Linked DNA regions of Pelodiscus sinensis. The protein of the gene in region 1 interacts with the protein of each later gene in a biochemical or structural test. Links are inferred from orthologs where the notes say so. Each region holds a gene or a part of one and is shown in the gene's direction. Other genes may lie near its edges.

Region 1 (7,290 bases):
CATGGCAGCTGGCTGCTCCAGCGGGTGGGGCCAGCTGAGCCAGCATGGTAAGGGAGCTGCTGGGGTTGGGACCTGCCATGGCTGCATGGCAGGGGAAGGGGGGGGAAGGGGAAGGGAAGGAAGGCCTGCTTCAGTGGCTGGGCTGCCACATGGCATGGGGAGCCGGGGCCTGTTCTGGCAGCTGGGGCCAGGCACGGGACCTGCTGCATGGTGGGGAGGAGGTGGGCGGGGTGGTGGTGTCTGTTTCAGTGGCTGGGAAAGGGACCTACCACAAGGCTGGGGGGACAGGGTCTGCTCTGGTGGAGGGGAACAGGACATGGTACATGGCATGGGGAGAAGGAGATTTCTGCTCTGACAGCTGGGTGTGTGTGTGTGTGTGTTAATAACTTGGGTGCCATAGTGGCACACATCCGATCGAGCACACGACCTCAATATTGATGCACAAGCCAAAATTCACTCCGTTCACGGTTGGACAATCTTAGAGGGAACACTAAACAGCATCTTTGAATGGTTCCAAGTTGGGGAACTCCTGGTGCATGGCTAGCTGGAGAGATGCCCTGAGAACACACCATATGTCACTGAGCAAACAGAAAGGGGACTCAAATCTCAAAAAGAATGCAAAGGATGGGTCTGGGGGTTGGTCACCAGAGAGCAAGGCAGTAGAGTTCAAAGCGATGTCCAAAGAGGCAAGAACAGGCAGCATGAGAAGAGTGCTGGAGACTAATCATAACACAGTACTTCACCGCACTAGTGCCCAAACGCATTATCCAGAGCACAGCAATCTCTATGCTGTTTGCAAAATTGGTTTACCTACAGCAAACTAGTGTACATTATGATTTGCCAGTGTGGATACTGAGAAAGTTACAATGCTGGGGACTGATTTACTGCACAGTAACTTGCCGCTGTAGACTTATTTTTAACTTTGGCGCATGAAATGTGTCATACTTAGTTTTAGACAAAAGGTGAGTTGTTCTGAAGAAAAAGAAGTAAGAACCTAAAAACAGCTATACTGGGTGAAATCAAAATTCCATCCACTCCCGTATCCTGTCTTTCACCAATGGCCAGTGCTAGGTGCCCCAGAGAGAATGAACAGAACACAATCATCAAATGATCCATGATACTTGTATGAACATGAGAAAATGATAGAGGTTTCATTGTTGGGGGAGGGAGGGAAGAGACCTCTTCCTAATTTGTTTACAATGCCTTTATTTATAAGTGTAAAATTTGGCATAGTTGTTATCAGATATTTATTAAACAGAGGACGGGATTATTTGAGAAAAATGTAGGAACAAAATGAGTGCAACCTAATGCATATTGCCTTAAGTCCAGATGTTGCTATATTTGAATAATTGAACATTAAATAGCAAAATATGTAATTCCTATTTACATATGAAAATATTCAAATAAACATTTGAAGGTACAATCAAATTTAAGTGCATTTATTTAAATATGAGCATATTCACTTAATCTCAGCTAAACTATTAGCACTCAAACCCCTTCATTGAACTGAATGGTAACTGTAACATTCCTGAACTGGACTGATAATGGATCTAATGATCAATCTCAGGAGAATGGCAATGATAAACTTTTTACTTCAAGGGGCTTGTCTTGATGTATAGTGCTACAGGGCATGGGTACTGGGTGAAGGCCCAGCGGTGGAAGGGAAGACAAGCCCAAGCCCCGCCCCTCCCAACAAAAGCCATACCCCTTCCCCTGCGACAATACCTCCTAAACCAGTGGTCCCCAACGCGGTGCCCGCGGGCGCCATGGCGCCTGCTGGGGCATTCGTGTGCGCCCGCTGACAACCTGGGCTGGCCCCGCTCCCGGCGCACAGGAGGCGCCGGCCCCAAGCGCGCGACACACACTGGCGCTGCGTGCGCGGCGCTCGGGCGGCTCCAGTCCCGGGGCACATTGCGGGCACTCGGTGCTCGAGCGGCGCCGGTGCCGGCCCCAGGTGCGTTGCTCGGGCGGCAGCGCCGGCCCCGGGCCCACGGCGCTCTGGCGGCCCCGGCCCTAGGGCAAACGCCGGGTGCAAGAGCATCCCAGTCCTCTTGCGTGCCCCCGGACGCACGGCTCCGCCCCCGGCGCATGAGTGGCCCCCACCTCCCGAGCGCCCGGGAGCCTCTAAAGGTTGGGGACCACTGTCCTAAACAATTCTTCCCCCTAAACAAACCCCGGCCAACTCCAGCTCTCAAACCATATCTTTCCTGGCTACCAGGAGGAACAGGGCTCCCTGTGCTACAGCCCCAGCTCTCTCTGGCTGGCAGGGAGCTAGTCTCCTGGTACTGTGGCTCCAGTCATCCCTGGCCACTGGGCTGCCACTCTAGGGCAGCTGGGCAATGTAGGCAGTTTTGGGACGGTAATACCTTCCCTTGCCTTTGTTACTGGCCACCCATGCTACAGGGGCACAGCTGTAGTGCTTTAGTGGAGATGCTATTATGCTGATGGAAGTAGTTTTCTGTTGGTGTAGTTAAACCACTTCCAGGAGAGCAGTAGCCATGTTCACAGAAGCTCTCCCATCAACATGGTGCTGTCTACACAGGAACTAAGTTGTATAATTACATTGCCAAGGGGTGTGGATTTTGAGCAACATAGTTATACTGATGTAGGTCTCTAGTCATGTAGATGTGGCTCAGGTTGTGACTACAAATCATTACTGTATAATGAGTGTTCAGTAGCATTAATAAAAAGTTTGGGTTTAGTTCAATTCTTAATGGGCCTGGATTAAATATACAGCATCACCATTCATACTGGCACATTTGTTCACAGTCCCATTAAAGTAGCCAAAGATTAAATGAGTGTGAAAACTACATCCTTAGAAGTGGCCCCCTCAGAACATGATTACAGAACAGAAGGTGATCAGCATGTGGAAGTCCATCCTGCAGTTACCAGTGCTGTCTGTCCTGTGGCTCAGAACTTTAGACTCCAGATTTGTCAATCTGGCATGGTGCATAAGTAACAGATTCACTAAAAAAACTAAGGATACAAAAAGCAAAAACAGCTACCACCACATATTGTTGAGATTTAACATGAACAGATGAATAAATCAAGTGTCACACAACAAATCTGCTAGCTACATTTCACATACCGTTGCATGTTATGAAACATTTAAATTAATAGCATATTTAGTGAAACGCTGCTTATGTAGAAAGGGGGAATGTTTCAATAAGAAATACAACTTTGAATTTCCTAGTTTAGTATCCACGATCTCAAATATAGCATGACACTATTATTAGCATTTAAGTAATTTAATTTAATACTTTTTTTTTGGAAACTCACCATGTGGCACTGTGCCCTTACTCCCCAATAAAAATACTCGAGATAAATGGCACATTGGAGTGATAACTAACAAGGTTGTTATGTGCAAGAGAACAAAAGCCTGGCACAAGACTGACTGTAATATGTGCAATTACTATATTATGATGCTGAGCGGATTACCCCTAAGAAAACAACTCTCATTCCAGACTCAAGGTTGACTCTGTCTTAACTGATACGGTCTCTAAACGAACAAGCGAGCCACCGCGCCCTGCATTCCACTGGCTGCCAACAAGCAGAAGAAACAGCGACACCTTTACACTAAAAACAGGCAGCGAAACCACGCGGCGATTGCTTAATGAGGAAGAAAAAGGGCATCAACGACTGCGAGCTGCCGCTTTTCCACACACGCAGCAGCGAGCGCTGTGGGCGTGAGAGACAAACAGCGAAGGGAACGTTACGCTGACCTCTGGCGAGCCTTCATCGCCCGCCTCCCCCTCCACTTCACCCCCGCCAGCCCCGTCCTCTGCCCCTCCCCCTCTACCTTTTCGTTTCGTTCCGCTCCTGTCACTGCCCCGCGCCCTTTCCCTGCCCCTACCCCCGCGTGTTCCTCGCTCCCCCACCCCCGCACCAACCCAGCGCACAGCCGCCCCTCCCCCCCTCAGCACATCGCTTCCCGGTTTCATGCAACGCAACTTGCTGAGGCATTGCTCGTAGAGCGCCGTGATTGGCTGGGGCTGGCCGCCCCTCGCGAGGCCCTGGCTCCGGATTGGCTGTGCTCCGCCGCTGCTCGCACTCAGCCCCGGGCTTGTGGTCTGACTCAGGAGTGAGGCAGGCGGGGTCTCGCCTTCCTCTAGCGGCCAGCCGGAGGGAGTGTGTGTGTGAGAGAGACAGACAGAGGCGCGCCCGCCCTTCCCCTCCCTCCCGGCGGCGCTGCAGTGTCTCCCCTTGGCTGTGCGGCGGTGCTGCCGCCTGCCTTGTGTATCGTGAGCGCCCCTTGCCCCGCTGCGGGCACGACGTGGCCCGGCTACTACCGGTTCCCCAGCCACCGCCCGGCCGGAGGGCGCTGCCTGTTCCTCGCCTCGCGCCCCTGGCGGCGGTTAGCGGCGCGGGGCGGGCGGGGCCGGGCTGCATGCGGCAGTCTCTATAGGACGGGACTGCAGGCGGGGCGGGCTCGGCGCGCGGAGCTGGCCTAGTGTGGGGAGGAGGCAGCCTGGCTCGGGCGGCAGGGGGCGGTGGCGAAGCGGGCGCTGCAGACTCGCCGTCTGTGCCCGTGCCCAGGGCAGGAAGTGATTCTCCAACTTCAGCGCCGCGGCCGGGGAATGTGACTCGGCCGGGATCGGTTGGCCGCTGAAACCGGGACCGGGGGTGCCGAGAAGCCGGTGCTGCGTCCTCCCTGCCCCAGCCCTGCTTCCCGACCAACAGCGGCTGCATCCGCTCGGCCCCCGTGAAGAAAACTTGGTTGGATTTAAAATTCCCCTTGGGACGGAGAGGGGCCCTGCTGGGGTAGGGTGAAGCTGATCGAGACAGCAGCGATCGAAGGTAAGTGGGTGCAGAGGAGGTTTGGGTAAGAAACCTTGCGCCGAGGGGAGGGGAAAGGAAGGAGCTGGCGCTTCATTCCGATATCCTGTTTTTGGCCTTTAGTTTTCTGCTGGGCTGTGTTGTCTGCCTGAAAAAAGCCCGAGTCTCCTTTTGTCTCTTCCAATGTTATTTGTGTGTGTGGGATCGTTATTTCTATGGAGGTTGCAAGAAGAATCTGGTGAGATCGAAAGTTTTTAAGCTCCTCAAACAGAAGTTTCTTTGTTCAGCAGGATGAGGTATTGAAGTGAAACTGCCTGGTTATGGTTCTCTTCTGAAATAGTTAGCCCGGCAGCTTAGTTCCTTTCTCTACAAATAAACACTTCCAAAGGGTACTGCTCTTAATTATTTTACTTGAAAGAAATCCAGAAGTTAGGAGATATTTGCTTTCCCCCCTTTACTTTCAAGGGTGTTGGTTCCTTTACTGTCGCCATCTAATATGTGCATCCTTTAAAAAGAACGACTGATCTTTCTTTCTTTGTAATCATTTGTTCACTTTACAAATAAGGTTGTGTTGTTTGTCTTCTGTTCTTCAAGATGAAGAGTTTGGCTATCTATTTCATCACTGGAGAAGAGTTAGTTTGTTTAATTTTATCTTAATACCTGGGGCAGGATAGCCAACACTTCTTGCATTGCCTTTCCTTATAGCAGAAATTGAATGATTTTCATATGCAAGACATATACCTACACTTAGAACCTGTAGAAGTTTATCCTGGTAAAATCTGATGTAGTCGAAAGAATGGAAGATACTATACTTTAATATGAGTTACTATAAGAACTGCTTCTCAAAATTAATATGGTATAATTTGGGTAAAAACTGACAAATTTAATTTTCATTGCTTTATATGGGACTTCTAATCAAAATTTGTTTGAGATAGGAATACACACAGGCTCAATGCAATGTGATACTACAATCATCTTGTTAAGGCTATTGCAAAAGTGTGGCTACTACATATTACTTTATCTTGACTAATTTTATTTAACACAAAACATATTATACAAAGTATCTAGATGTCCTATAACAACTTGGTTTAAGATGCTTCAGAGAGCCAATGCCAGATATTGATTACACTGGAGTTCCAAAACTATATGTGCTGAGAGAGGTCTAAAAAAAATCATTCATGTATTGTATAGATTTCAAAAGAATGCATTAAAGGCCATAGCTTGGGACTAGTTTATGTTGTCCTTGATAGAAGACAGTCTAAATTATTATTCTTGAATAACGAAGTGGATGGCAGAGTGTTTTCAGTTGTACTGACTGGATATGTTGTGTGATCAGCCTGGTTTAGGAATATGGAACTGGCTTGTCTGAGAAGCGTGTGTGCCTGAGAACCAAATATATTCACTTTTATATGAACTTTTTATACTTGTTATATATGTATTTGCCCATTTTAAGAAAGTAAAACATTTAAAAATGACCCAGATCTGATAAATAACATCAGGCAGTTTTGTGTAGTGATGAAATGATTATTCATCTAGCACAGACTCATTTAGTAATAGTATTCTTTAGTGGAAAAGTGACAGATTTGTGTCAATACAAAATAGCTTTTTCAAATGATAATGCACAACTGATCTGGGTTATGATTTATAGACTTATCTTCACAGGCAACAGAAGAGGTTATTCTTGGGCATCTGAAAGAACTAAACAAAATAGATGACATTTGAACTTCATCTTCCTTCTATGGCTTATACTTGGCAGTGAAGCAATGAAGTCTAAATAGAGTAATCCTTTTATAGAGAATGATCATTTTCCAAAGCACTGCTTCATTCCTAACAATGACACGGTTCTGAAGGTGGGGGAAAATGTAGTAAAGCATGACAAATTTAGTTGTCAACTAATGTATTCCTAATGGATGCAATTTTATTTCTTTTCGGACTTTTTGTTTTTCTGATGATGTGCTAGATATTTTTCAGTACCATGTAGGAGAAGAGATCCTTGTATTTGGGGCACCAACTTTTTGAACTGGTTTTGTCATTATGGCAGCTAAAATAAGGCCCTTAAATGATGAGAGTGCAGTTCACTGCTACTTATAGCTGGTGGTTATGCCATAAAATGGTGTTCATTTCATTAACATAGTTTAGTATTCATCAGAGAATTTATTCTTTCTTGCAACCAGCAGTGTTTTCAGAATAAAAAATTACTTAAGTAATAAAATCTTTAAATTGTCATTTTTGGTGTAGGAATGTAAGTGACTAGTCAAGTAGTTGACTACCTCATAAGTCTACACGTATTGGGTAGTGGAGTCGACTACTTGACTGCTGGCATTTCCCCCTCTCCTTACTGCCTCTATATCAGAGGCATCAAGTGGAAGAGCAGGAGCCGGTGCTGGAGGGAGCTGGCTTAAAAACCAGTTCCCACCAGCACCGTCTCCGCAGTGCTGCCTGCCTTTCCCCCCACCCCCCATGCTGCTGCCTCTGTTAGCCCAGGCTCTCTGCGAGCAGAGGCTGCTCCATATT
Region 2 (8,077 bases), on another chromosome or scaffold:
CCATCTCAAGGGGGGTTGAGGCATCCTAGGCCTGCCCTGTAACCAGATTACATCTGTGCTGGTCTGTATCCTGGAGGAGCAATAAACTCCCTCTGTTCTACTGGCTGGCGGAGTCTGTTCGTGCCACTACGGGGGTGCAGGAGGCAGGGGAACCCCGACGCGCCGCCACAACGGGTATCTGCTTTACACCCACCATTATCAGCTTTATATCCACGAGTATCTGAGGCTTGTTTTTGTGGATAAGGTTGCGGATACAAACATTATGTGTAGGTCCTCCAGCTGACTGAGCACTCCGGCCGCCTCCTGGCTCAGTGCAGGGACGAGCTCCTGCAGCCAGTCAGCTGGGGGGACCCGTTGCAGTCCACAGGCCCTCTCAAAGGAGCTGAGGAACCTGTCTGTGTCGCCCACGTCCTTCAATTGGGCCACCACGAGCCTCTCCAAGCGTCTGGCAGTCCCGGGACCCTGGGGCCCATCCACTCTTGGCACAGCCGGTGCCCCGCAGGTTCTCCGCTCTGCCATGGCCAGCTCATGCTGTCGCTGCCTCTCTCGGTCCTGGTGGTCCCTCTCTCGATCTTGGCGCTCCTTCTCTCGGTCCTGGCGGTCCCTCTCTCGGTCCTCTACTTCCAATTCCTTGATCTGCAGCTGGATCTCCAGGCGCCGCAGCTCCGCTGGGCTGGCCCCTGCCCTAGATGGGCTACGGCTTGCAGGCCTCCTGGGGGAAGCTGTTTCATCTCTCCGGTGGGTTCCAGCGCTCCTCCCCCTCTCTGAGCCTGACACACTCTCAGGGGGGGTCTGGCTGCTCCCCCTGGGGACAAGATCCTGGCCCTGTGGCTGGTCATTCTCTTCCAGCTGGGCAATCAGCTGGGCCTTGGTTGCTTTCTGCACAGGCAAGCCCCGTTCTCTGCACAGCCCCACCAGCTCTGCCTTCAAGAGTCGGGCGTAGGCCACCTGCCCGCTGGGCCCCTCGGTGCAGACTCACCAGTCTAGTGCTGCAGCGCCCCACGATTCCCAGGAACCGCTTCGCTCTGTCTCCAGCACGCCTGGCTCCAGGGCTCTTGCTTCTACTGCGCCTTGTCGCTCGCCGCTGGAAGCTCCATCCACGGGGTGCAGTGCATCCCACTCCTGACACCAGTGTGATGGCGCGTTGGGGTCCCCCGCCTCCTGCACCCCGAAATGGCACAAACAGACTCCACCAGCCGGGAGAACAGAGGGAGTTTATTGCCTCTCCAGAATACAGCACAGCACAGATGTCATCAGGTTACAGGGCAGGCCTAAGATGCCTCATCCCCCTTTGATATGGGGGGGGGTCTCGGCTTCTAAACCCCCAGCCTGTTGCTGAGGTTGCTTCCTCCATGCTCCCAGACAGAAAACTAACTAACTCTCTTCCAGCCCTGCCCCCCAGCCCGGGCGGCATTCACCTTCCTTTGTTCCTCTCCTTGGGGGGTAGCTGGTCGGACAGGTTGAGAGGGCCTCTTTGCATAATGTCTCACTCCCTGTCCTTCTGGGCCGTGGTACCAGCAGCAGCCAGTGGGGTTACCACAGAGCCAGCTTAGAAAGCAGCCCAATACCCCCACTACGTCACAATAGCTTCCCAATTATCACCCCTAATATCATTAGCTCTCAGACATCTACCTCCCTCCCCCTCCCCCCCCGCAACCCCCTTCTGTTCTGAAATGTGATTTGTCCTTTTCATATGTGTTCATTTTTTTTAATTGTATCCTTTGGTATATATGGTTGTGACTACTTTCTTCCACTATTTGATCTGAGGAAGTGGGTCTGGCCCACGAAAGCTCATCATCTAATAAACCATCTTGTTAGTCTGTAAAGTGCTACATTGTCCTGTATTTTGATTCCTGGAGGCTCCTCAGGCACATCATTAAGGCTGTGTCTAGCCTACATGGCTCTGTTGCCAGGGGCATGTAGATTAGACACATAGGCAAAGGCAAATGAAGCCGTGATTTAAATGATCGCGGCTTCATTTACATTTACATGGCTGCCGCGCTGAGCCGACAAACAGCTGATCAGCTGTTTGTCGGCTCAGTGCGGCAGCCATGTAAATGTAAATGAAGCCGCGATCATTTAAATCATGGCTTCATTTGCCTTTGCCAAAACAACAAATCTACATGGCTCCGTCGACAGAGCCATGTAGTCTAGACGTACCCTAAGTGTGTACAGGGCCAGCCAGGTGGAGGCACCGCCACTGTATATTCCTTTTGAAGCAAGTGGGGGTGGAGAGGGGATCCCCAGCTATCCAACACCACCTGTAGGGTCCTCAGGCTCCCCTTTCATGTTAAAACCATCAGGTGCCCAGGCACACAAGTGAGCGTGGCCTGCTCCCGAGTAACCCAGGGTATGTCTACACTACCCCGCTAGTTCGAACTAGGAGGGTAATGGAGGCATACCGCACTTGCAAATGAAGCCCGGGATTTGAATTTCCCGGGCTTCATTTGCATAAGCGGGGAGCCGCCATTTTTAAATCCCCGCTGCTTCGAACCCCGTGTAGCGCGGCTACACGGGGCTCGAACTAGGTAGTTCGGACTAGGGTGCCTATTCCGAACTACCGGTACACCTCATTTCACGAGGAGTAACGGTAGTTCGGAATAGGAACCTAGTCCGAACTACCTAGTTCGAGTCCCGTGTAGCCGCGCTGCATGGGGTTCCAACTAGCCGGGATTTAAAAATGGCGGCTCCCCGCTTATGCAAATGAAGCCCGGGAAATTCAAATCCTGGGCTTCATTTGCAAGTGCGGTATGCCTACATTACCCCGCTAGTTCGAACTAGCGGGGTAGTGTAGACATACCCCCAGGGAGGAAGGGGTTACAGTTCAAAGCACTAGTTCAATAGCTCGGGGATGGATGAACTTGCCCCATGCCTTCTAGCAGGGTTATTAATTCTGAAATCTAAAGGTGAGGATTTAAATACCCGCACGGGTTGAACCTCTCTACCCGGCACCCTGGGGACCTGGCCGGTGCCAAACCAGAGAATTTGCCGAACCACAGGAGGTCACTATTGGCCAGCAGCATGACCAACACTGCCACTGCTGGGTGGGCCCTTAGAAGGGGTAAATTAGAGCTAAATAGCAGCACAGGACCCAGAGCCAGGACTGGGGCTGGAAACAAACCTCATGGGACTGCAGGAGGCATCCGGCTCACTCAAATCATGCTGACCCAGCGATGCTGCCAGATACCTGCAGGCCTCACGAGGAGCTCCGGGTGGGGGGGACAGTGCCCCATCTGCCACCATCCCCTGATCCTACCCACTTCCCCACTCTCCTGTCAGTTCCTCCCAGTCACCCCAAGTAACCCAGCAACCCACTAATGGAGCCTCCGGTCAGTGCCCTGCGGGTCCCGTGCCATTGCCACCAGGCTCCTCCGTAACTGCCCCAAATGGCTCGGTCGTTGCTCTTTCTGGTATTTCATGTTTGTGTGGCAGGAGAGCCTAGGGCCACGCTGTGCTAGGAGCTGTACAGACCATCGCCCCCGTGCCCTGCCTGCACCGTTAAGGTCCATGCTCATCTTTAGAGCCCCTCCCAAAGTCCCAGCCCCCTTTGGTCAATTGCACAGTCATAGGCACTCGTTGACCCCGGCATTGCAGGGTGCTGTAGCTGTAGGGATCCTGGCCCAAAGAGGAGTTGGGGGTGGCTGCAAGGTTGTTATTGGAGGGTGGGCAGGTTGTGGTACCTCTGCACCGTTGCAGGTGGCAGCGCTGCCTGCAGGGCTGTGATTGAAATCCCACTGGGCTTGGTGGGGGAGGCGCCACAGGGAGGGCAAAGGGGGCAGTTGTTCTGCAGCCTGGCAATTTGCAGAGCGGCAGCAGCCATAGCCCTGGGCCCTTTAAATCCCCGTCGGGCGGGAGCGGGGGGCTAGGCTGCCGCAGGGGGCGTGTGCCCAGACCTCTCTGCTCTGCAGTCAGCTGGGTTGGATTTTCCCAGCTTCGCAGTTTTAGCAGGAGTCCGAGTGTGTGAGGCAGGAGTCTTCTGGGGCTTCTCTTCAGAGCAATGTGGCCTAGTGGATACAGCACTGGCCTGAGACTCAGCAAACCTGGGTTCTCTCCCTGCGGGGTGGCTTGGGGTCGGTCATGCTGCTGCTCTGTGCCTCGGTTCCCCACCTCTGAAATGGGGCTAATGAGGCTCACCTCCTCAGGAATGTGCTTTGAGGTCACGGGATGGCAAGCTCCTAAGCCCGACCCTCCAGCCATCAGTGTGTATTTCTCTGGAGGCAGCATCTAGACCCGATGGTCCAGCCCATTGCTGGGCCAGGTGCTGTCCCAGCCCAGAGAGCTGACAATCAACTGGGGAGCCTGGGTCAGCAGGAAGGACGGTGGTCTCAGAAAGCCCCCAACCTAGCCGTTGTCTCCTCTTACTTCCCTGCCTGTTTGCCCGTCATGCTGGAGGGGCGTGAGGGCCTTGCTTTGCTCCACCCCAGCTGGGAGCAATTTGTGGGGTTCCCCAGGTGCTGTGCTGAGTGGGGGGGAAGCTTGGCCACATTTCCTGGGGGAAATGCCTCGTTAGGTCACTGAACGAGTTTGCAGATTTATAACAAGCTCACTTCTTTTGTCTTGGCAAACAAGTAACAGTCAAATGAGACGTTTCATCTGGAACTGCTTTCTGCTTCAAAAGCTGACTTCCACTTTCTGATTTTTTAAAAGTCCAAAATTCAAGCCCCGAAGCGACCGTTGGGCTGGAGTGAATTGTGTTGTTGCATTTCACTGGGAAATGAAAAGAAAATTCCGCGGTGGTGCAGCCGGAACAGGGTTTATTTTCATGGGGTTGATGCGGCTCCTGCACCCAAAATACCAGCTGCTGCCCAGCTCTCGATCCTGCTCCTCGTTCTACCCGGAGCCCAGGGGCTGCCTGCCTGGATCGGCCTTTCGCTGTGACGCAGTCTGTGAGCTGCTCCCAGTGGATTGCTCCGGAGCCGCTGGGCCCAGGGACCTCCCTTGTGTGTATGTCCCAGGGAGCCTGATCCCTCTGCCCAGTGCCCTGCAATGGGGCTGTGGGGCCAGGGGAACTGCCTCCCACTTGATTGGCCACCCGGAGGACGAATGCCCAAGCCGCAAGAGGGCCATGCTACCTGAAGAACCCTCAGGTCCTCAGGTTTCACTCGTGACCATCTGACAGCAGCAGCAGCTGTCCAGCCAGCACGCCCCAGCCGAGCCAAAGTCTCTCACTCCCGGAGTCGAAGGAGAGTGAAAATCTGACCCCAAAGCTCTTTCCTTGGGACCCTGCTTCTTCCATCTAAAAGTAAGTAGCTGACTCCGACAGTGTCCCGGAGCTCGTCCTCCTAGCGTAGCACAGCTCGGGGCTTGCTGCAAACTCACAAGCCCCCGCTCCCCCATGCTCTGCCAAGTGACAGCGCAGCCTGAGAGCTCTCACTGCCCTGCTCTTGGGAGCACCGCGCTGCCAGGTCCCCGGGGACGCCTGAGCAGCCGGCAGCGTCTGGAGAGAGACGGCTTGGTGGTGCGTTCTCTGCCGGCAGGTGACCCTCGTGCCAGGCTTGTCAGGGAGACGGGCAGGGTCTGGGAGCAGGTCCCCACAGAGGGTGGCAGACAGGGAATCCCGAGTTCCCTGCGCGAAGCAGACTCCAGGGAAAGCAAACTGGCTGCTGGAACCAACGGCTCTGCCTTTGGGAGGGCTTTGGGGCTGGGGGCAGAAATTCCACTTCTCTCCCAGCTCCCTTGTGCTGAAGCAGACAGCTCAAAACACGGCTTTACGGTCAGAAACCCCCTGGCTCCTGCCTTCCCCGCCTCGGGTGCTAAATATAAACGTTGGCCAGGCCAAGCCGGAGGTTGCATGAAAGGTCTCCAGGCAGGAGCGCTTGCTGTGTCTCCTTTTGTGGAAGAGATCCCTGGCCCCTCTTCTGCGCTGCAGTTGCCCCCCTGGGAACGTGCAAGGAGGAGCCCCATGCGGGGAGGGCAGCCGGGGATACGATTTCTGCCTTTTGTGAAATGGCACAAGTGATGTGCCAGGAAAAGACGCCATTGGCAGCCATAGTGAACCCGCCTCTGCGCCCCAGCCGAAGAGGCTGCAGTGTGCAGAGCTCCCCGGGGCCGGGCTCTGGTGCAGGGATAACGTGGGGAGGACAGAGGATAGCCGGGGCGGAGCTGCGGGAGGGGAGGAAGGGACTGGAGTGAGGAGGGGGAGAGAACAGAGAGGATGACTGAGGAAGACGAGGGGCGGGAAGAGGGGAGGGGACGTGGAGCACACACAGAAGGGGCAGCGCCCAGAGACCGCTCATGCCTAATGACAAGGTTCATGTGCCGGCGGTGCACAAGGGGTTGGGCAGCTCCTGAGTACGCAGGAGGCAACGCGCACGCCAGGAGCCCACCTCAGACGCAGGGGCTGAGGCACCTGGTGTCTCCACGAGAGGCCCGACCCCTGCTGTGTGCAACGCGCTGGGCACCTGTTTTGCGCAGGAGGGTCAGGCACCTGCTATGTGGGCAGGGGGTGAGGCACCAGCTCTGTGCACCAGGGGCCAGGCACCTGCTGCGTGTGCAGGGGGTGAGGCACCAGCTCTGTGCGCCAGGGGCCAGGCACCTGCTACGTGTGCAGGGGGTGAGGCACCAGCTCTGTGCACCAGGGGCCAGGCACCTGCTACGTGTGCAGGGGGTGAGGCACCAGCTCTGTGCACCAGGGGCCAGGCACCTGCTGCGTGTGCAGGGGGTGAGGCACCAGCTCTGTGCGCCAGGGGCCAGGCACCTGCTGCGTGTGCAGGGGGTGAGGCACCAGCTCTGTGCACCAGGGGCCAGGCACCTGCTGCGTGTGCAGGGGGTGAGGCACCAGCTCTGTGCACCAGGGGCCAGGCACCTGCTGCGTGTGCAGGGGGTGAGGCACCAGCTCTGTGCACCAGGGGCCAGGCACCTGCTGCGTGTGCAGGGGGTGAGGCACCAGCTCTGTGCGCCAGGGGCCAGGCACCTGCTGCGTGTGCAGGGGGTGAGGCACCAGCTCTGTGCGCCAGGGGCCAGTCACCTGCTACGTGTGCAGGGGGTGAGGCACCAGCTCTGTGCGCCAGGGGCCAGTCACCTGCTACGTGTGCAGGGGGTGAGGCACCAGCTCTGTGCACCAGGGGCCAGGCACCTGCTGCGTGTGCAGGGGGTGAGGCACCAGCTCTGTGCACCAGGGGTCAGGCACCTGCTGCGTGTGCAGGGGGTGAGGCACCAGCTCTGTGCACCAGGGGCCAGGCACCTGCTGCGTGTGCAGGGGGTGAGGCACCAGCTCTGTGCACCAGGGGCCAGGCACCTGCTGCGTGTGCAGGGGGTGAGGCACCAGCTCTGTGCACCAGGGGTCAGGCACCTGCTGCGTGTGCAGGGGGTGAGGCACCAGCTCTGTGCGCCAGGGGCCAGGCACCTGCTGCGTATACTGGGGGTGAGGCACCAGCTCTGTGCACCAGGGGTCAGGCACCTGCTGCGTGTGCAGGGGGTGAGGCACCAGCTCTGTGCACCAGGGGCCAGGCACCTGCTATGTGGGCAGGGGGTGAGGCACCAGCTCTGTGCACCAGGGGCCAGGCACCTGCTACGTGTGCAGGGGGTGAGGCACCAGCTCTGTGCGCCAGGGGCCAGGCACCTGCTATGTGGGCAGGGGGTGAGGCACCAGCTCTGTGCACCAGGGGCCAGGCACCTGCTACGTGTGCAGGGGGTGAGGCACCAGCTCTGTGCACCAGGGGCCAGTCACCTGCTGCGTGTGCAGGGGGTGAGGCACCAGCTCTGTGCGCCAGGGGCCAGGCACCTGCTGCGTGTACAGGGGGTGAGGCACCAGCTCTGTGCGCCAGGGGCCAGGCACCTGCTACGTGTGCAGGGGGTGAGGCACCAGCTCTGTGCGCCAGGGGCCAGGCACCTGCTGCGTGTACAGGGGGTGAGGCACCAGCTCTGTGCGCCAGGGGCCAGGCACCTGCTACGTGTGCAGGGGGTGAGGCACCAGCTCTGTGCGCCAGGGGCCAGGCACCTGCTGCGTGTACAGGGGGTGAGGCACCAGCTCTGTGCGCCAGGGGCCAGGCACCTGCTGCGTGTACAGGGGGTGAGGCACCAGCTCTGTGCGCCAGGGGCCAGGCACCTGCTGCATGTGCAGGGGGTGAGGCACCAG
Region 3 (8,151 bases), on another chromosome or scaffold:
TACAATTGTTTCTGATGTATCTGGTTGTCACAGCTGATAAAATGCATATACTTTTCCTGAGTATATGTGTGTATCAGTAAACATAACTGCAAGAAAGAGAAAGCTCATAACTGTTATTTCATGCCCCAATCCATGACGCAGTTGTGGATAAACTGACACATAAAGTTAATAAAGTTCTTATACCACTTTGGTGGCACAAGGTCAAATTTTCATTTAGATGGTGTCAGTAGGAAACTGGCAGAACTCTCCAGTACAATGATGGCAAAAAATCACTCATTCTCTGGGCTGCTAATAGTGGTGACTAGACAGAATTCATGGATTCATAAAGGTAGAGAGGACACAACTATGGGTTTTCTTCTCTCTACTATCTATTTAATGTGAAGGGCTCAGAGGCAAAGCAACTCCTCTCTTCTGACCAAGCTCATCTGGCCCACAATGCACCTTTTTATTCCCCATCAGGTTGGTCGCAGAGGATACACTAGGAACTCTGACATGCTGATTTGGGCTCAGAGTCTCCTATGGGAGTTACACTTTGTTACCACAAGGCTAAATTTGGGCTAAGATAGCTGTGTCAGACTATGCTCAAAAACACGAATCTCCTAACTCCTGACCTTGTACACGAACACAAAGACAATCTCTTCTAGTATAATATGTGTAAACTGTATGCATAATACTTTCTAACATGGAGTCCTTCAACAAAATGTATAGCACCTACAGGGTGTGACTGCACAGCAGGGCTTAACTCGAAATAAACTAAGCAAATTGAACTACGTCAATTGCATAGCTTATTTCAAAATTGGGAGCATCTACACAACACTTATTTAGAAATAGAGACTCTTCCTCCGACTTCCCTGTGAGGGGGGTGCGGTCTCAGAAGACCCCTTTTGGTGCCTCCCAGGGTGCTGACACGGCCACTGCCACTCGCCTTCCCACTCTCTGGGGCTCTTCACTGCCTGGTCCTGCCAGGCCAGCTCCCTGGTCTCCCCCAATCACGGCCCTGAGCTGAGATCTCTGACCCCCAAGAAGCAGTACAGTTACTGAACCTCTTCAAGTTTGATTAGAGTGCAGTTTAGGGCCCAGCTCTTGGGATACCACTCCCCAAATGACATCAAACCCCAAAGAATTAGGTAAGTCACCTTTAACAATGAAAGGGGGAATGTGCACACTGATTGCTCTCCCATGTAATAATTGCTTACACTGGGTTTGATAGAAAATAAAAGTGATTTTATTAAGTACAAGCAGTAGGATTTGAGTGGTAATAAGCGAGAACAGGCAGAGCAAAGTAGATTACAAATCAAAAGAAACAAAAATGCTTGGCTAATTCTACCCTGGAACCTCAGTGCAAACTTTTCAAACTCACCCTAAAACATCTTTTCCAGCTGCCCTTGCAAATCAGGGCTGTCTCCCCACCCTGGGGTCTTCGGCTCCTTCCTGCAGGTGCAGCCCAGCCAAAAGACCAAAGGCTCCTGCCTTCCTATTCTTTTTAAAGCATTCCCTTGTTCTATGGGGAATCCCTAAGGACTACTGCTAAGCCTTAAGGACAAAAGGCTATTTGCATATTACTGCTGAGACACTGGGGTCCCAATTGATGGCTTTCCATTTACACATTTAAAAATCATAAAGTATACCCTACTCCATATGTCTAATTTTACACACAAAAATGATACACACATCAAAATAAGATAAACAGAATCAGCTGATCATGACATGAAGATTGATAGGTTACATGAAATAATTTGCTCCAAGCACCTTTGAGTTATTTATATTAATGTTCTTTGGGGGGGGGGGGAGGGGGGGAAGGGATGTCCATCACATTCCCTTACTCCTTGTACAATGAGGGTTGCAGGAATCAGAGTAAGAAGTCCTCCAGCATGACAGTATTTTGACTTTATTTTGAAATAACTGCCTGCTGTGTAGACATGGACTAAGTATGGACGAAATAATGTGGCTGTGTAGACGTACCCACAGTTTTTGGTCTGATTCTGCAGTTTCTCCATGTGTGTCCCTTCCCCTGATGTCAATGGCAGCTGTTTGATATGAGAACTTCAAGTGCAGCCTGTAGATCCTAAAAGCATCGCTTTCCATTCAAATAATTGGACAAATTGGTGGCAGATATGACACAAATTACAAGACACTATCAAATACATTTGCTACTGGAAAACATATGTGCCATACAGTGAAACATATCAAAATTATTTTCTCTACATCTGTGACAATTTGGCACAATACCAGTTTGCAATGTGAGACATCTCTAGGCACAGAGCTACTGGAAAAGTTCTTGAAGCATTTTTGAATTCTTTGTCTTGAACCAAAATGTTGCTCTTTCCAGTTTCCCCCCAAATATATGGAATTTTAACAGTCCAAAGGCAGCATTAATTGTGATCTCACAGTCTAATCTCTCCCCAAATTATTCCTGACCAAAGCAGGAGCATGTAACTGCTGTCCATAGCCTCATAGCCAGAACAAGGAGTATATGTGCCAAATTTCACAGATCATGCTTCTGACCAGCCACTAGAATGGCCTGGTTCTACTTGCCAAAGAATACTTGCAAAGGCATCCTCTCCATGACTTTTTCTGAGATCCTTAACTGATGTGAAAATTTACCACCCCATATTTTCCCAACTCCACTCAGTTTCCTTTGGCATCTCATCAGGAGCAAATGCCACACACAGTCTAACACCTAATATCTCCTGGGTTTTGTATGCCTTCACAATGATTGTACTCTCTGCTTGCCTTGTTTCAAAACTGCAAATACAGAGGGAGGACATTTGATTCAGTACATTGAGCAAGCAGAGTTTCCCCCCTTGCTGAGAAGGAACCAAATATATCTAGCCTAAGTGATTCTTGCCAGGTTTTTTACTAACCTCATCTTAAAAGCTCCTAATGACAGGGATTCCACAGTGCAAATAATTCACTGAGCTTCATTCATCTTTATTTATGATAAAACCTAGAGGTTGAAACAACTGAGGCCCCATTGTATTCACTGTATGAATGCATAGAAATGGGCAGTCCCTGCTCCATTTCCCAGTCAAAACAGATTAGAGAGACAAAATGTGGGAGAGAGGAACTATAATTACAGATAGGGAACTGAAGCGCAGAAAAGTGATCTGTCCAATGAGACCCAGGAAACTTGTCACAGAACTAGGGGTAAAGCCAGGTTTCCTGAGTCCCTACTTAGTGCCTTACCTCAGGGCTATCCACTCTCCAAGACTATCTTCCCTTCTAACATTCCTTCTTCTAACATTGTTGTTTTGAAGAATCTCCCTGATCATGAGCTTAAAGGGAATCCAAGAAGAATAGAGAAAGTGCTAAGACTGAAAATCAACCACTTGTGCTATTTTTGTTCGAGTCTCCCTTTTCATCCTTCTGTGCAATCCAGGTCAGGATGGATCCAACAGGATCAAGGGGTTGGGTGCATGATTTTATGGGACTGCTGCATCAGTTTGCATTATGATCTGGATTTTTTATGTGCACTGGGAGTTTTTATTTCCACCCTTTATTTTGTTTGAGTGGGGTTACATTCAGATGCCAGTTATGCGTTTTTCTCATGATATTAGGCTGGGGTGCATTAGGATCTAGATTTTTTTTAGTGGAATAGGAGTGGTTATGCTTATTTTCCAGTTAGATCTCCCCATCCCCTACATGAATGTTGTAAAAACCTGGATCTGGCTCCAGCTGGATTTTGGGCATATTTGATATCAAGTCCCACATTCTACTATCTGCTTGTTTTTTTGGTGGAGTAGGAGGAGCTACTCTTATTTCTTCTTCCTGCTGTGGTTTTTTTTTTTTTTTTTGAGGAGAGTAAGGGCTAAAAGTGGATGGATCTGGTAGGATTCAAATCCATATCTGGGGTTTCGTAATGCTCTGCATAGTGAGCAGCTAGACTTATTTCTCTGTAGGAGCATTACAATTTGAGGCCAAAGTTTGGCAGGATTCAGGTATTAGATCCAGGGTTTTGCAATGTTCCTACTCCAGGGAGCACTGAATCAACAGTGTGTCCTTGTAGTTAAGAAGGCTAACAGCATATTAGGGTGCATTAGGAGGAGCATGCCAGCAGATCTAGAGAAGCGATTTTTCCCATTTATTTGGCTCTGGTGAGGCCACATTTGGAGTGTTGAGTCCAGTTCTGGGCCTCCCACTATAGAAAGGATGTGGATGCATTGGAGAGGGTCCAGCAGCGGGCAACCAAAATGATTAGCGGGCAGGTGCACATAGCCTACCGGGAGAGGGTGAGGGATTTGGGCTTATTTAGTCTGCAGAAGAGAAGAGTGAGGGGGGATTGATAGCACCCTTCAACTTCTGGAAGGGAGGTTCCAAAGAGGATGCAGAGCTGCTATTGCCAGTAGTGACAGACGACAGAACAAGGAGCAATGGTCTCAAGTTACAGTGGGGGAGGTCTAGGTTGGATATTAGGAAAAACTATTTCGCTAGGAGAGTGGTGAAGCACTGGGATGGGTTACCTAGGGAGGTGGTGGACTCTCCATCTCTAGAGGTTTTTAAGTCCTGGCTTGACAAAGCCCTGGCTGGGATGATTTAGTTGGGATTGGTCCTGCCTTGGGCACGGGGCTGGACTCAATGACTCCTGAGGTCTATTCCAGCCCTAGGATTCTATGATTCTAGGGTGGATTGGATTTCCCGCAAACCCCCCCCCCCCTCCAATAAGAGCAGTAGGGCTGCTTTTCTGTTATGAAGCAACACATTGGGAAATCATGGCCAAAAACCAGCAGGAGCCAGGTAGATCCAGCTGTTCACTGATGTTGTGTGCCACACTTATTCCTTGATTCCATTTGAAATTCCCAGTGCCTCTTGAGCGGCATAGATTTTCTTTAAAAAAGACAGCCCTCGGCACGGACCCGAGCTCTCCCTTGTATTAGCCAAGGTATGTATTATTCAACTCTGGCATATTTCTTTCAATAATTAATATATGACCACAAAAAGAAACAATGCGGGCGGGGGGGGGGGGGGGGGGAGATTGTAAATTGCTTAATGAGTGCAAGGAGGGCTGTGGCCGCTAGGGGCTGGCCGAGAGCTGGAAAGCCCAGGGAATAAATCAGACCTGGCGTTCGTCCTTCAGTGGCACGTAAACACAGTTGGGAATCGGGCAGCAGACGGCTGACAAAGGGGGCGAGAGCGCGGGAAAGAGCAACAGTTCCTGCGCCCGCAACTCACTGAGGCCAGAGTTAGCGGGAGCGCGGCGCAGGGGCTCGGGAGCGCGGGCGCGAAAGCCTCGCGGGGGGTCGGTTGTGTTGGGTTTAATTGCCTCGCTCCTCCTCGCCCCCGCCCTCCAAATAATAGCAGCAGCAACAACAAGTGGATGCGGTGTGCGCTGGACTGCGGGGCGCTCGGCTGCAGTGTAAACGGGCGTGCGAGGGGAATTGCCACCAACAGGGCGCCTCCTGCTATCACTCGCCAGTGCTCGGCTCGCACAGGGATTATTCCCCGTTGATTTCACCCTCCCGCCAGCGCCCGCTTTGGAGAGACAAGTGATCACACACACACACAAGCGTGTCCTCCCGCGCGCGCGCACACACACTCTCTCACACACACACTCTCACGCACACACACACACACACACGAATCCTCTTTTTTGTTTCCTCCTGGAGCAAGATTCTTGATTGTTGCTGTTTTGCTAAGCTCTGGGCTAAGAAGTGACCGTCGCTGACCAGATTTCTCCAGAGCTGGGCTCCCCATCTGGCTCCCCCTGGGAGATCTGCTTGTGTACAAAGAGAACCGAGACAAATAAGTCATCCACCTGTAGTTTTGGCTGCCCCTACACCTGCAACCCTAGGCTGCTTAGTTAGCACCGTCCCCTTCTCAGGAGCTCTTTCTCCACATCCTTGGACGAGCCAGAAGAGCGTTGCTATTTCTCTGCCTAGGAACAGTAAGTATAATAGCATTTTTCTTCCTGCAGCATATTCAGAAAGGGGTGTGTGCTGTTTTTAGGGGTGTGTGTGTGTGTGTGTGTGTTTGGGTGACCGTGTGTTGTTGCTCCAGGAAGCTACAGTTTGTATTTTTTTGTCAGACAAGCATGGATGTTGGTCACTGGATATGCCCAGGTATGTACCTTTTACTAAGTGACAGTTTAGTAAAAGGTGCATTGTGACTACATCACAAGTTAGATTTGAAATGTACTGTATCATTCCTGCAGTTAATTAAGTTCCCAATATGTAGCAGAGCTATTTTGTATACATCTCCGTGTCACATTTGATATACGTAGAAGATTTTATACATACAAATACAGTCTATATGTAAAGTCTTGCAAATTGTGACTGCCATGTACAGTAGTATTGATGTGAATGTTGCGCTCTCTCCTAGAGTTAGGAAGATAAAACAATTACATACTTAAGTACACCTATATGTGTATACACACACACACTCGTATCTGTACACACAATCATAGAAAACCTATGGGTGTATGGAATGAATGTGTGTGATGTATTAATGTGAAGGGGGTGTGTGTATGTGTGGCTGAACATCTTAGTAAATGACACAATTTGCATTTGACCTACACTGTGGCATCTTAGGAAAACGAACCAACCTTTTCTAAACCTTTCTGTTTTCTTTGTTATTTTTGTATGTATGTGTGTTTGCTGCATGTGCCTCAGGTTAAGTGCTTCTTCTGCATGAGCATAACCAAAGGGTGATCCACTCTCTTGTCCCCTATGGAGTCCTCCAAGCCAGTGTTGCAGCCTTCTCCTCCTCCTCTTGCCACTGCAGCTACTGCCCTGGCTGCTGCTCCGAGGTTTGAGACTCTGTTGACAGGCTGAAGAAAGAGGGCTTGCAAAGACCTCCTCACTGTGTAAACAAAATGATGGCTGGAAGTTACTTCAACTCCCTCAATATCATTATTAAACAGTAATCATATTGCTAGACCAAAGCATTACTTGGAGAAAATGATGAGAAAAGAGACTATTTGCATTTGGTTACAGTGATAAACTAAAGACCTGAAACTTTTCTTTGTCAAGAAAACAACAGGACAGTTACCTCGTTTTGTATGAACACTTGGCTCTTTATTGGGTGCAGTCCTTGGAGCTACAACAAAATCACACATTTGAAAAGATGTGTGGATTCTGTATTGGCCACTGAAGTATCATAAAAATAAAGAGGCTTGCCTGATGAAAGGATGAGGCCTTGACTCTTTCTGAAATCAAAACTGAAGGCTGCATCTTTTCTTTTATTTTTTTTTGTGAACAAAACACGGTTATATTTGTCAGACATCCTGAATGATAAGAAAATGCAGATTTTGTGGTGGTTACAATTTCACAAAACACAAATTCAGTTTTACTAATACCATCATGTACTGTGCTTCCAAGAAACTGTCCTCCAAATGCAAATGGCTTTGAACTTTCCCTCATAAAAGTCAAGGTGTGACTATAGATATCCCAGACTATTTTGTATTAAACAAACAGTTACAAAATGGAGGTTGCAATGGTGAGTGCAGAGAGCTCTGGCTGCAACAGCCACATGCCCTATGGATATGCTGTCCAGGCTCGGGCTCGGGAGAGAGAAAGACTGGCACACTCGAGGGCAGCGGCAGCTGCAGCTGTGGCAGCAGCAACAGCAGCAGTAGAAGGCGGCGCCTCGGGAGGAGGTGGTCCCTATCATCACTACCACCAGATACAGAGTCGGGGGGCTTCTTCTTCTCACGATGGCAATGCACCACATAGCAGTTTGCCCTGGCATCAAAGCAGTAGAAGGAGAAAGCGAGGGAGAAAAAGGAGCCACTATTTGAGTAGCAGGGAGTGTGGGGCCTCCTTCCTCTGTTCTGAGCTGCTGCCTCTAAGTGGCTCTGAAGAGAAGATACTGAAGGACTTGAGTGAGGAGGAAGAGGAGGATGAGGAGGAGGATGAAGAAGATGAGGAGGAAGGGAAGTTCTACTACAGTGACGAGGATGAAGTGGATGAATGTTCGTATTTGGACCACCCACCTGATGATGGTGGAGGTGACGGCGGCCCTGGGGGCTACAGCACAGTGCGCTACAGCGAGTATGAGTGCTGCGAACGGGTAGTGATCAATGTATCAGGACTGCGGTTTGAGACTCAGCTGAAGACCTTGGCTCAGTTTCCTGAAACATTGCTGGGGGATCCGGCAAAGCGGGGTAGGTACTTTGACCCACTCAGGAATGAGTACTTCTTCGATCGGAACCGGCCC
Region 4 (7,555 bases), about 85 Mb from region 1:
CTCTCGTTGACTTTGTGAATGAGCCCGAATCAGAATTCATAGAATCCTCGAGCTGGAAGAGACCTCAGGAGGTCATCAAGTCCAGCCCCCTGCCCCAGGCAGGACCAATCCCAATTGACTGTCTAGTTTTGAACTTTCTTAGATGGATGTCTAAGAAACCTGTGAAAGAGGCAGAGTGTCTCAGGTGTATTAAACCAGTTTCTTTGAGAGCAGAATTCAGTCTTGCATAGAAATCCCAGATGTTGATTATTGCAAAGAACCCTAAAAGGCCCCAGATCAGTGGAGGCACCTGTTGAAACCAGCTGACGAGGTGGACTTAAATTGAGTGAGCACTCTTACTGTAACACAATAGGCGTATATTTGCATTTGAGGAACTTGAAAAGGGAAAGCGTGACTGATTACTAAATTTAGAATATCTGATGTGCACATTTTCTTAATTTATAAAACACAGCTTCAAAAGCAATGGAATAGATCGGCGGCTAATAAGACTGTCTTCACTCTGCTGTGATTCATCTTCTGGAGCTTGATTCAGTGAGTCTAGTTAAGACTCATTAAATTGAACTCAGAGGGTGCCCTGCCAGGCTTGGCTTATGGTAAGCTGTCTCTAGGTAGGTATTCTACATAGCTGGAAATGCGTACCTTAAGCCGAGCTGCTGGGTCCAGTGTAGACCTGGCCTCAGTGTAATTAATTGAGGCTCTGGCCATTTATAAATTCCTTTGTTTTTTTAAAATAGACCCTGGTTTATATTGGTGACTGACAGAATGGTTATATATATATAGGTCACACCCTCTTTGTGGTGAGGATGGTAGGAGTCGTGCAGAGAATTCAGAACCCTCACAAATGACTGATAGTCCTTAAATTATTATGTACCCAAATCGTATGGATAATAAAAAGCTTCAGAGGGGTAGCTGAGTTAGTCTGTAACAGGAAAAACTTAAAAAGCACCAATTTGTGTAGTAGCACCTTAAAGATTAACAAAACATGTAGCTGGTATCGTGGGCGCAAACCACTCCTGTCATCTGAAGAAGTGGGCTGTGCCCACGAAAGCTCATGATACCATCTACATGTTTTGTTAGTCCTTACGGTGCTACAAGACTACTTGTTGATTTTTAGGGTTTTCTCGTATGGATAACATAGCACTTCTCACCTTCCATGGGGCAGGTGGCAGTAGACAAGTTAAAAGCCTTAAGTCTAGATCATAGTTCTCCGATAGCTCTCCAAGTGGTAACCTGTCTTTCAAAAAGCTGCTGATCTATATGTTGTTCAAACCATCTGGAAACAGAGGAACAAAAAGAAACCAGGAGTAACAGATTACAGAAAATATCTCAGTACAGATTTTGATTTCTGTCCCACTGTTTTATAAATCCAAAGCATCGAGATGGTGCTGCAACGGCTGTGATGGAACTGACAGAATACCACCAGACAGTCAAACTCTCTCTGTTGTGATTTAATTTAGTTGTGAGATTACAGTATTATGCCATTCTGAGTTTAATGTGCACATATGTGATTGTGCACATTTGTTTGATTACTTCCTGGTATGTTGGAGGCTTACATGGCTAATTTTATTTTAAAGCATAATCCTTTGTGAGCCTATTTTGGGGGAGGGAGGGAGAAGAAGAGATCACTCACTTTAGTCTCCATATCTTTCTTTAAAGAATGAAAGAAGTACAGTAAAAATGTAGCTTTAAAGCTGAGCATTGAAATGCACAAAGCTGGAGATGCAGAGAGAGTTTCCATACCTCGGTTGCTCCTTTTAAAGCAAAGTATTAACATGCAGAGGTGCAAACAGCTTTGTTACATATGAGCAATGGCTTTGCACTGGGAACCCTAATTTAGACTGTCCTGGCTCTTGTGCTTTAAATGTGTTTGCCATCTAGAATTTTGTGCATGGAATAATTCACAATGTGCATGCATTCACAGCCTCTATGCCACTGGCTTTTGTGCTCCTCTTTAGTGATATACCTGTAGGCATGGCAGAAAGGGGAAATCTGAACAGCAATAAATTTCTCCACAGTTCCTTAGCTGGGGGTAATTATGGACAACTGACACCGACTCAGGATCCTAGCACAGTGAATTGGGTAGTCAAGCACATTTCTCCAGAAGCTGAACAAGCTGTTGACTAGAGGTCTTACAAATACAACCGGTCAAACTACGCACTGAAAATAATTTTACATATGAGTTTAGCCCTTTTTTCTTGTGATCTGGTCCACATTTCTTCCTAATGTGGGACCCATTGAGCAAATTGTTGAGATTAACAGTTTACAGCCAATGGGTTGCTGGTGAGCTGCTAACTTTTGCCATTCATATTTTTTGTTCCTTGCAATAAATAATATGGAATTAAATCCCGGCCCTATTAAAGTCAATGGCAAAACTCTCATTGACTTCAATAGGGTCAGATTTCACTCCTGATTTATTTCCAGTGATGGTTGCACTGGTTTAACTGAAGGTGTTTTTCAAAAAATGGTTGGACCAACATAAAATGCTGTGCAGTTTCCTGCAGTCTACAGCAGACTTTGGGCAGAAGGAAGTAACCTCATACCAGCTTTGCTCTTGTCAGGACATGAATTTTCTCAGTCTAGACCACTTCTGCACACAGTCCCTGGATGCAATAGAAGAGTTGTCCCATAACATCCCGTGTTAAGAAGCCTGGAGTGTCACAGCAAGCTAGGGCATTATAAACGTACTGGGTACATACTCAGATTTCTGTGTGTAAATTTTCCCAGGAAGCTGAGCGCTTGGGTGGCCACCCACGAGAGATTCAAGTACCGCCCCATATTAGCAGAATGGCCACAGCTGGCAGCATGTCTTTCTATTGGTGGTGCACATCTTGGTGTCTTGGTGCGTACAACAAAATTTATCCTACACATGGATAGAAAAAAAACTAGAGGAGGCACTTGTGGGCAGCAGCCATGCAGAACTCACCTGCTACTCTGCAGCATGATGTGGTCTATTGAGTAAAGCAAGGTGACCAGTTGCTAATTTGAGGTTTGACTAGTAACGAGTCACATTTTGGTGTCGCTGAAACTGATTATGAACAGGGTCATGCTACCCTGAAACAAACCATTCAAATGAAAATGTTTCTGTGTAGGGGTCTGCACTGGCGTAGCTAAAGAAGTGCAAAGATGGGTTTTGAAACCAAGATTTTTTTTGTAAGGAGCATCACAAATGATTGATAACTTCTAGCATGAATGTTTGTATAAACATTCATCCTCAAATTTTTAAAACCTCCAAGTTTCCAGACATTATATAATAGCAGCTAGCTGCCTCCATGGACCCAATTAATGTTATGATCCCTTGGATACGAGCAGCTTATCTGCTCATAAAGGAAAAAATTTCAGCCTCTTCCCCTCAGTTATCCTTCCAGCTCTGCTCACAACTCCTGCAATACTCTGGATACTTGTGTGTGTAACGGCCTCTCTTCCTAGGTGTTAGCCCTTGCTGTGTTCATGGAAGAGAGGGAATACAGATGGCCTTTCAGTGTATAATCAGGGACCAGTCTGATCATCGTAACAGGGCCCAGCAAGAGAGACTCACCCAGTGAAGCCTAGACCTTTTACTAGCACGTTGGTTCCCAACCTTTTTGGACACAGGCCCTATTTGTAATTGTTTATATCCTGTTGTGACCCACTAAATGAACTGGGGGTGGAAGGGCCTGAGGTGGTTTCAGTTAGGTCCTGCATCCCAGGAGGGTTGGGTCCAGCCTGCCACACTCCTCATAGTGTTGGCTCCTGTCCTGTGGGGCAAGCTGGGCTGGCTCTAGGTGTTGCAATCTCCCGGCTTGCACTGCTGGCCAGGTTTGGCCCCACCCCGCGGACAGGAACCACATTTGTGTGAGCAGAGTTGTGACTTGGCTCCTCCTGGGCTTGCAGTGCCGCTCCCTCAAATTTGGCCTCCCCGTGTCTTGTGGGCTGGGCCTAGCCTGCCTGGTTCTGGGTCCTTCGGAGCTGACGTAGGGGGACACCCCGGGGGAAAAATAATGGGTACTCAGCACCCTCTGTCAGGCCTGTGGATCGGCTCCACACCCCCCAGTGCCTTCTGCCCACTGCTGACCTGCAGGAAGCACAAGGAGGGGCGCAGGGCAGCCTGTGCTTGGGTGAAGGCGGGGGAATGTGATGGGAAGAGGCGGGGTGGGGCCACGGGAAAAGGGCTGCGGTGTGGGGAGCCCTGGAGTAGAGCAGGGGGCCAAGCACCCCAGGGGAATCAAAGTGGCTGCCCCCCCGGAGATTGCAGCGCTGGTTGGGGAGCCCAGCAGCCTAAAGCCTCCAGAGGCCCCTTGCAAACCTTTGGGGCCCCACCCAGGAGTTGGGAAACCCGCATCCAAGGCAGGCTCCCTGGGGCTCCCCCCCCCCCGACCCTGGCCGGCTCCCTGCGCGTGCAGCCCCGGGGACTTGCGCGCGGGGCCCTTTTAAGAGGCGGGCCGGCTCGCCACGTGCGGCGGCTGAGTGACGGGCCGACATAAACACGGCGGCCGGGTTTGACCGGCAGTAACCCCGCGGCGGGGCCGCTATAAAAGGCGCGGCGGGTTCGAAGCCCCGCCGGGGCTGAGCTAGCGCCGGGGAGCGAGAAGTGGCTGCCACCCAGGTAGGGCTGCGCGGCGCGTATGTTCAGCCCGGGGTCCCTGCCGGCGGGGCGCTTCTGGGGCTTTGTTTATTGCAGGGTCGCCTCGTTGCCCTCCTGGGCTCCCCTCCCTTCTGGGGCAGGGGCAGCCCCCGCCCCGTTTTCTCCTTCCCGGAGCTTTGTTTGTTGTACGGTCGCCTCTCTTTGCCCGCCTGGTCTCCCCCCTCTTCTGGGGCAGCCTCTCCCTGCCCCAGCCTCACCCCCTGCCCGGAGCTTTGTTTATTGTAGGGTCGCCTCTCTTTGCCCGCCTGGTCTCCCCCCTCTTCTGGGGCAGCCTCTCCCTGCCCCAGCCTCACCCCCTGCCCGGAGCTTTGTTTATTGTAGGGTCGCCTCTCTTTGCCCGCCTGGTCTCCCCCCTCTTCTGGGGTAGCCCCTCCCTGCCCTAGCCTCACCCCCTGCCCGGAGCTTTGTTTATTGTAGGGTCGCCTCTCTTTGCCCGCCTGGTCTCCCCCCTCTTCTGGGGCAGCCCCTCCCTGCCCCAGCCTCACCCCCTGCCCGGAGCTTTGTTTATTGTAGGGTCGCCTCTCTTTGCCCGCTTGGTCTCCCCCCTCTTCTGGGGCAGCCCCTCCCTGCCCCAGCTTCACCCCCCCCCACCCCCGCCCGGAGCTTTGTTTATTGTAGGGTCGCCTCTTTTTGCCTTCCTGGTCCCCTCTCCCTTCTGAGGCAGCCCCTCTCTCTCTGCCCCCAGCCTCTCCTTTCTTTCTGGGCCCCCCCCCCCCGCTGCACGTCCTCCTTTGTGGCTTCCTCTGGCTTCTCTCTCCTCTTTCTCCCCCCCCCCCCTTCCCCAGCGCTTGTTTGCAAAGGGATTTATTTGGGCTGCTCCGGGTTTTCTTCTCTGCTGCTTTCCTCCATGGCTCCTGGCTGGAGCCGCTCTGTGTCCAGGGTCTGCTCTCTCCTGCCCCGCTGCTTTCTCAGCAGGAGCCCTCCAGCTGGGGCGGCCCGGGCAGGAAGGGAGGGCAACCCAGCCAGGCAGCCCTGCTGGGACTGACCGAGAGTAACCCCTGGCGTCTAAACTCTGGTTCCTTAGAAAAAAATAACAATTGGAGCCCTCCTCTTGGCAGAGTCTTTTTTTGCACACGCCGGCCTCGCTGGGGGACTGGGGATTCGCCTCAAGGAGGTGGGGGAAAAAATATTCTTGTAGGAGAGAATCCGGCTTCCAGGACTGTTGTGTGCAAGGAGAAAGACTGAAGGGATCCAACAAAGGAAAATGGGGGAAAATAGCTGCTGATCGACTCCAGGCTAAAGTACCTGGCTTCCTGCCCCATTTCCAGGGAGTTAGGAGCTCTGCCTGGGAGGATGTTTTGGGCAGAATAGAAAAGTGCTTAGGATCTGGGTGTGCTTTGTATCTTTTTCTGAAAAATGTAGTTCATTTTATTTGGGTGTGCTTGTGGGCTACATATTTCATGCTGCCAGCACTTATTCCTTCACTGTGAGATGGGAAAGCCTAACAGGGCAGAATTGGATCTCCGCTACAGCCATGTCACCAATCCCTTAAACTCTGTGGAATGACTCCACGGGTATATAAGACCAAAATCAGTCTCAGTTCCTGTATAGGAGTGACAGCACCTTTAACAGCAGGCTTCATCTTTTGTTGCTACATCATAGCTGATAATGAAACCGTGTTTAGGGTTATGATGGTGTACTAAAAAAACAAGGGGTCAAAATAAAGCTGTAAAATTCAAGTTGCTACTTGAAAATGGTTGATATTTTTTTCACCAAAATTATCTTTAGTTCTAGCACAGGTCACAAAAATCAAACATTTCCAAATCCTTGTTTTAATTTCTGATGGTGTTGTAAACACACACACAAAATATAGTTGTAACCTAAATACACCATGTAGGTTTTTTTTAACTTCAAGGCAACACTCAGGCTATGTCTACACTAGCGTGAATTTCCGAAAATGCTTTTAACGGAAAAGTTTTCCGTTAAAAGCTTTTTTGGAAAAGTGGATCTAGATCGGCAGGACACTTTTCCAGAAAAGCACTTTTTTCCGGAAAAGCGTCTGTGGCCAATCTAGATTCGCTTTTCCGCAAAAAAGCCCCAGTCGTCATTTTCGTGATCGGGGCTTTTTTGCGGAATACACTACTGTGCTGTCTACACTGGCCCTTTTGCTGTCACCACTGGCCCTTTTCCGGAACAGTTTTCCAGAAAAACTTTTGCCCGAATGGGAGCAGCATAGTTTTTCAGGAAAAGCACTGATGATTTTACATTACATCGTCAGTGCTTTTCTGGAAATTCAAGTGGCCAGTGTAGACAGCTGGCAAGTTTTTCCAAAAAAGCGGCTGATTTTCCGGAATAACTTGCCATTGTAGACACAGCCTCAGAGTGGAGTCTCTCACAAACCAATGTGCTTAAGTGCTTTGTTGAATTGTGCCCTAAATGAAAACTGCTTTTTTGAAAATCTGGCCATGTTAATATTTTAAAATACAGTACTAAAATCCAAACAGAACAGTGTCACTACAGCCGCAAACCCTATGGACAACCCAATACTAGTCACAATAGACAACAGTTGTGCTTTAATTTTCATGACACTTCGGTGTGGCAGAGGCCTTTGTGCAGTGCTTTGTAACTTCAAGGGATGCTTTGTGGAAGCACATCCAATATCAATAGTGATATTAAATAGGAATTATGGCGAGGGAAATGAAATGAAAGCATGTCTTGTGCAGAAACAGCTAGGTACATATCGCCTCCCTTAAGAAATCCAAAGGGAAGTATATGGCGAGCCATCCCCAAACCAGATGGATCACTGAGTTTCTGCAGTGCCCTTGCAGACTGTTCTCCTAACTACATAGTATCCCAGACCCTGGCTGTTGGGTCATGTTAATGACGTGACAGATGTAACTGCACTTGCTTCACCTCTACAATCCATTGTCAATGGGAGTCTGTGCATAGGCAAAAATAATGCACCTGCCTGTGACCATCCAGACTGAGACCTTT

The links.
Region 2: the proteins of ERBIN (region 1) and SCN4A interact in a test that uses a peptide from one of them, tested with the Homo sapiens proteins (2 studies listed by BioGRID and IntAct). The link is inferred for Pelodiscus sinensis from reciprocal best matches to the Homo sapiens genes ERBIN and SCN4A.
Region 3: the proteins of ERBIN (region 1) and KCNA4 interact in a test that uses a peptide from one of them, tested with the Homo sapiens proteins (3 studies listed by BioGRID and IntAct, with this or other methods). The link is inferred for Pelodiscus sinensis from reciprocal best matches to the Homo sapiens genes ERBIN and KCNA4.
Region 4: the proteins of ERBIN (region 1) and ABCA1 interact in a test that uses a peptide from one of them, tested with the Homo sapiens proteins (2 studies listed by BioGRID and IntAct). The link is inferred for Pelodiscus sinensis from reciprocal best matches to the Homo sapiens genes ERBIN and ABCA1.

Annotation. Positions count from the first base shown.
Region 1 is NC_134716.1:89,980,043-89,987,332, reverse strand, and holds the start of ERBIN (erbin), read left to right. Parts: upstream 1-4,114; 5' UTR 4,115-4,797; intron 4,798-4,823; exon of another isoform or gene 4,824-5,072; intron 5,073-7,290. UniProt on the Homo sapiens protein: Acts as an adapter for the receptor ERBB2, in epithelia. By binding the unphosphorylated 'Tyr-1248' of receptor ERBB2, it may contribute to stabilize this unphosphorylated state.
Region 2 is NC_134739.1:2,074,013-2,082,089, reverse strand, and holds the start of SCN4A (sodium channel protein type 4 subunit alpha), read left to right. Parts: upstream 1-5,037; 5' UTR 5,038-5,242; intron 5,243-8,077. UniProt on the Homo sapiens protein: Pore-forming subunit of Nav1.4, a voltage-gated sodium (Nav) channel that directly mediates the depolarizing phase of action potentials in excitable membranes.
Region 3 is NC_134714.1:95,610,435-95,618,585, reverse strand, and holds the start of KCNA4 (potassium voltage-gated channel subfamily A member 4), read left to right. Parts: upstream 1-5,068; 5' UTR 5,069-5,881; intron 5,882-6,605; 5' UTR 6,606-7,416; coding exon 7,417-8,151. UniProt on the Homo sapiens protein: Voltage-gated potassium channel that mediates transmembrane potassium transport in excitable membranes. Forms tetrameric potassium-selective channels through which potassium ions pass in accordance with their electrochemical gradient.
Region 4 is NC_134716.1:5,225,309-5,232,863, reverse strand, and holds the start of ABCA1 (phospholipid-transporting ATPase ABCA1), read left to right. Parts: upstream 1-4,432; 5' UTR 4,433-4,582; intron 4,583-7,555. UniProt on the Homo sapiens protein: Catalyzes the translocation of specific phospholipids from the cytoplasmic to the extracellular/lumenal leaflet of membrane coupled to the hydrolysis of ATP.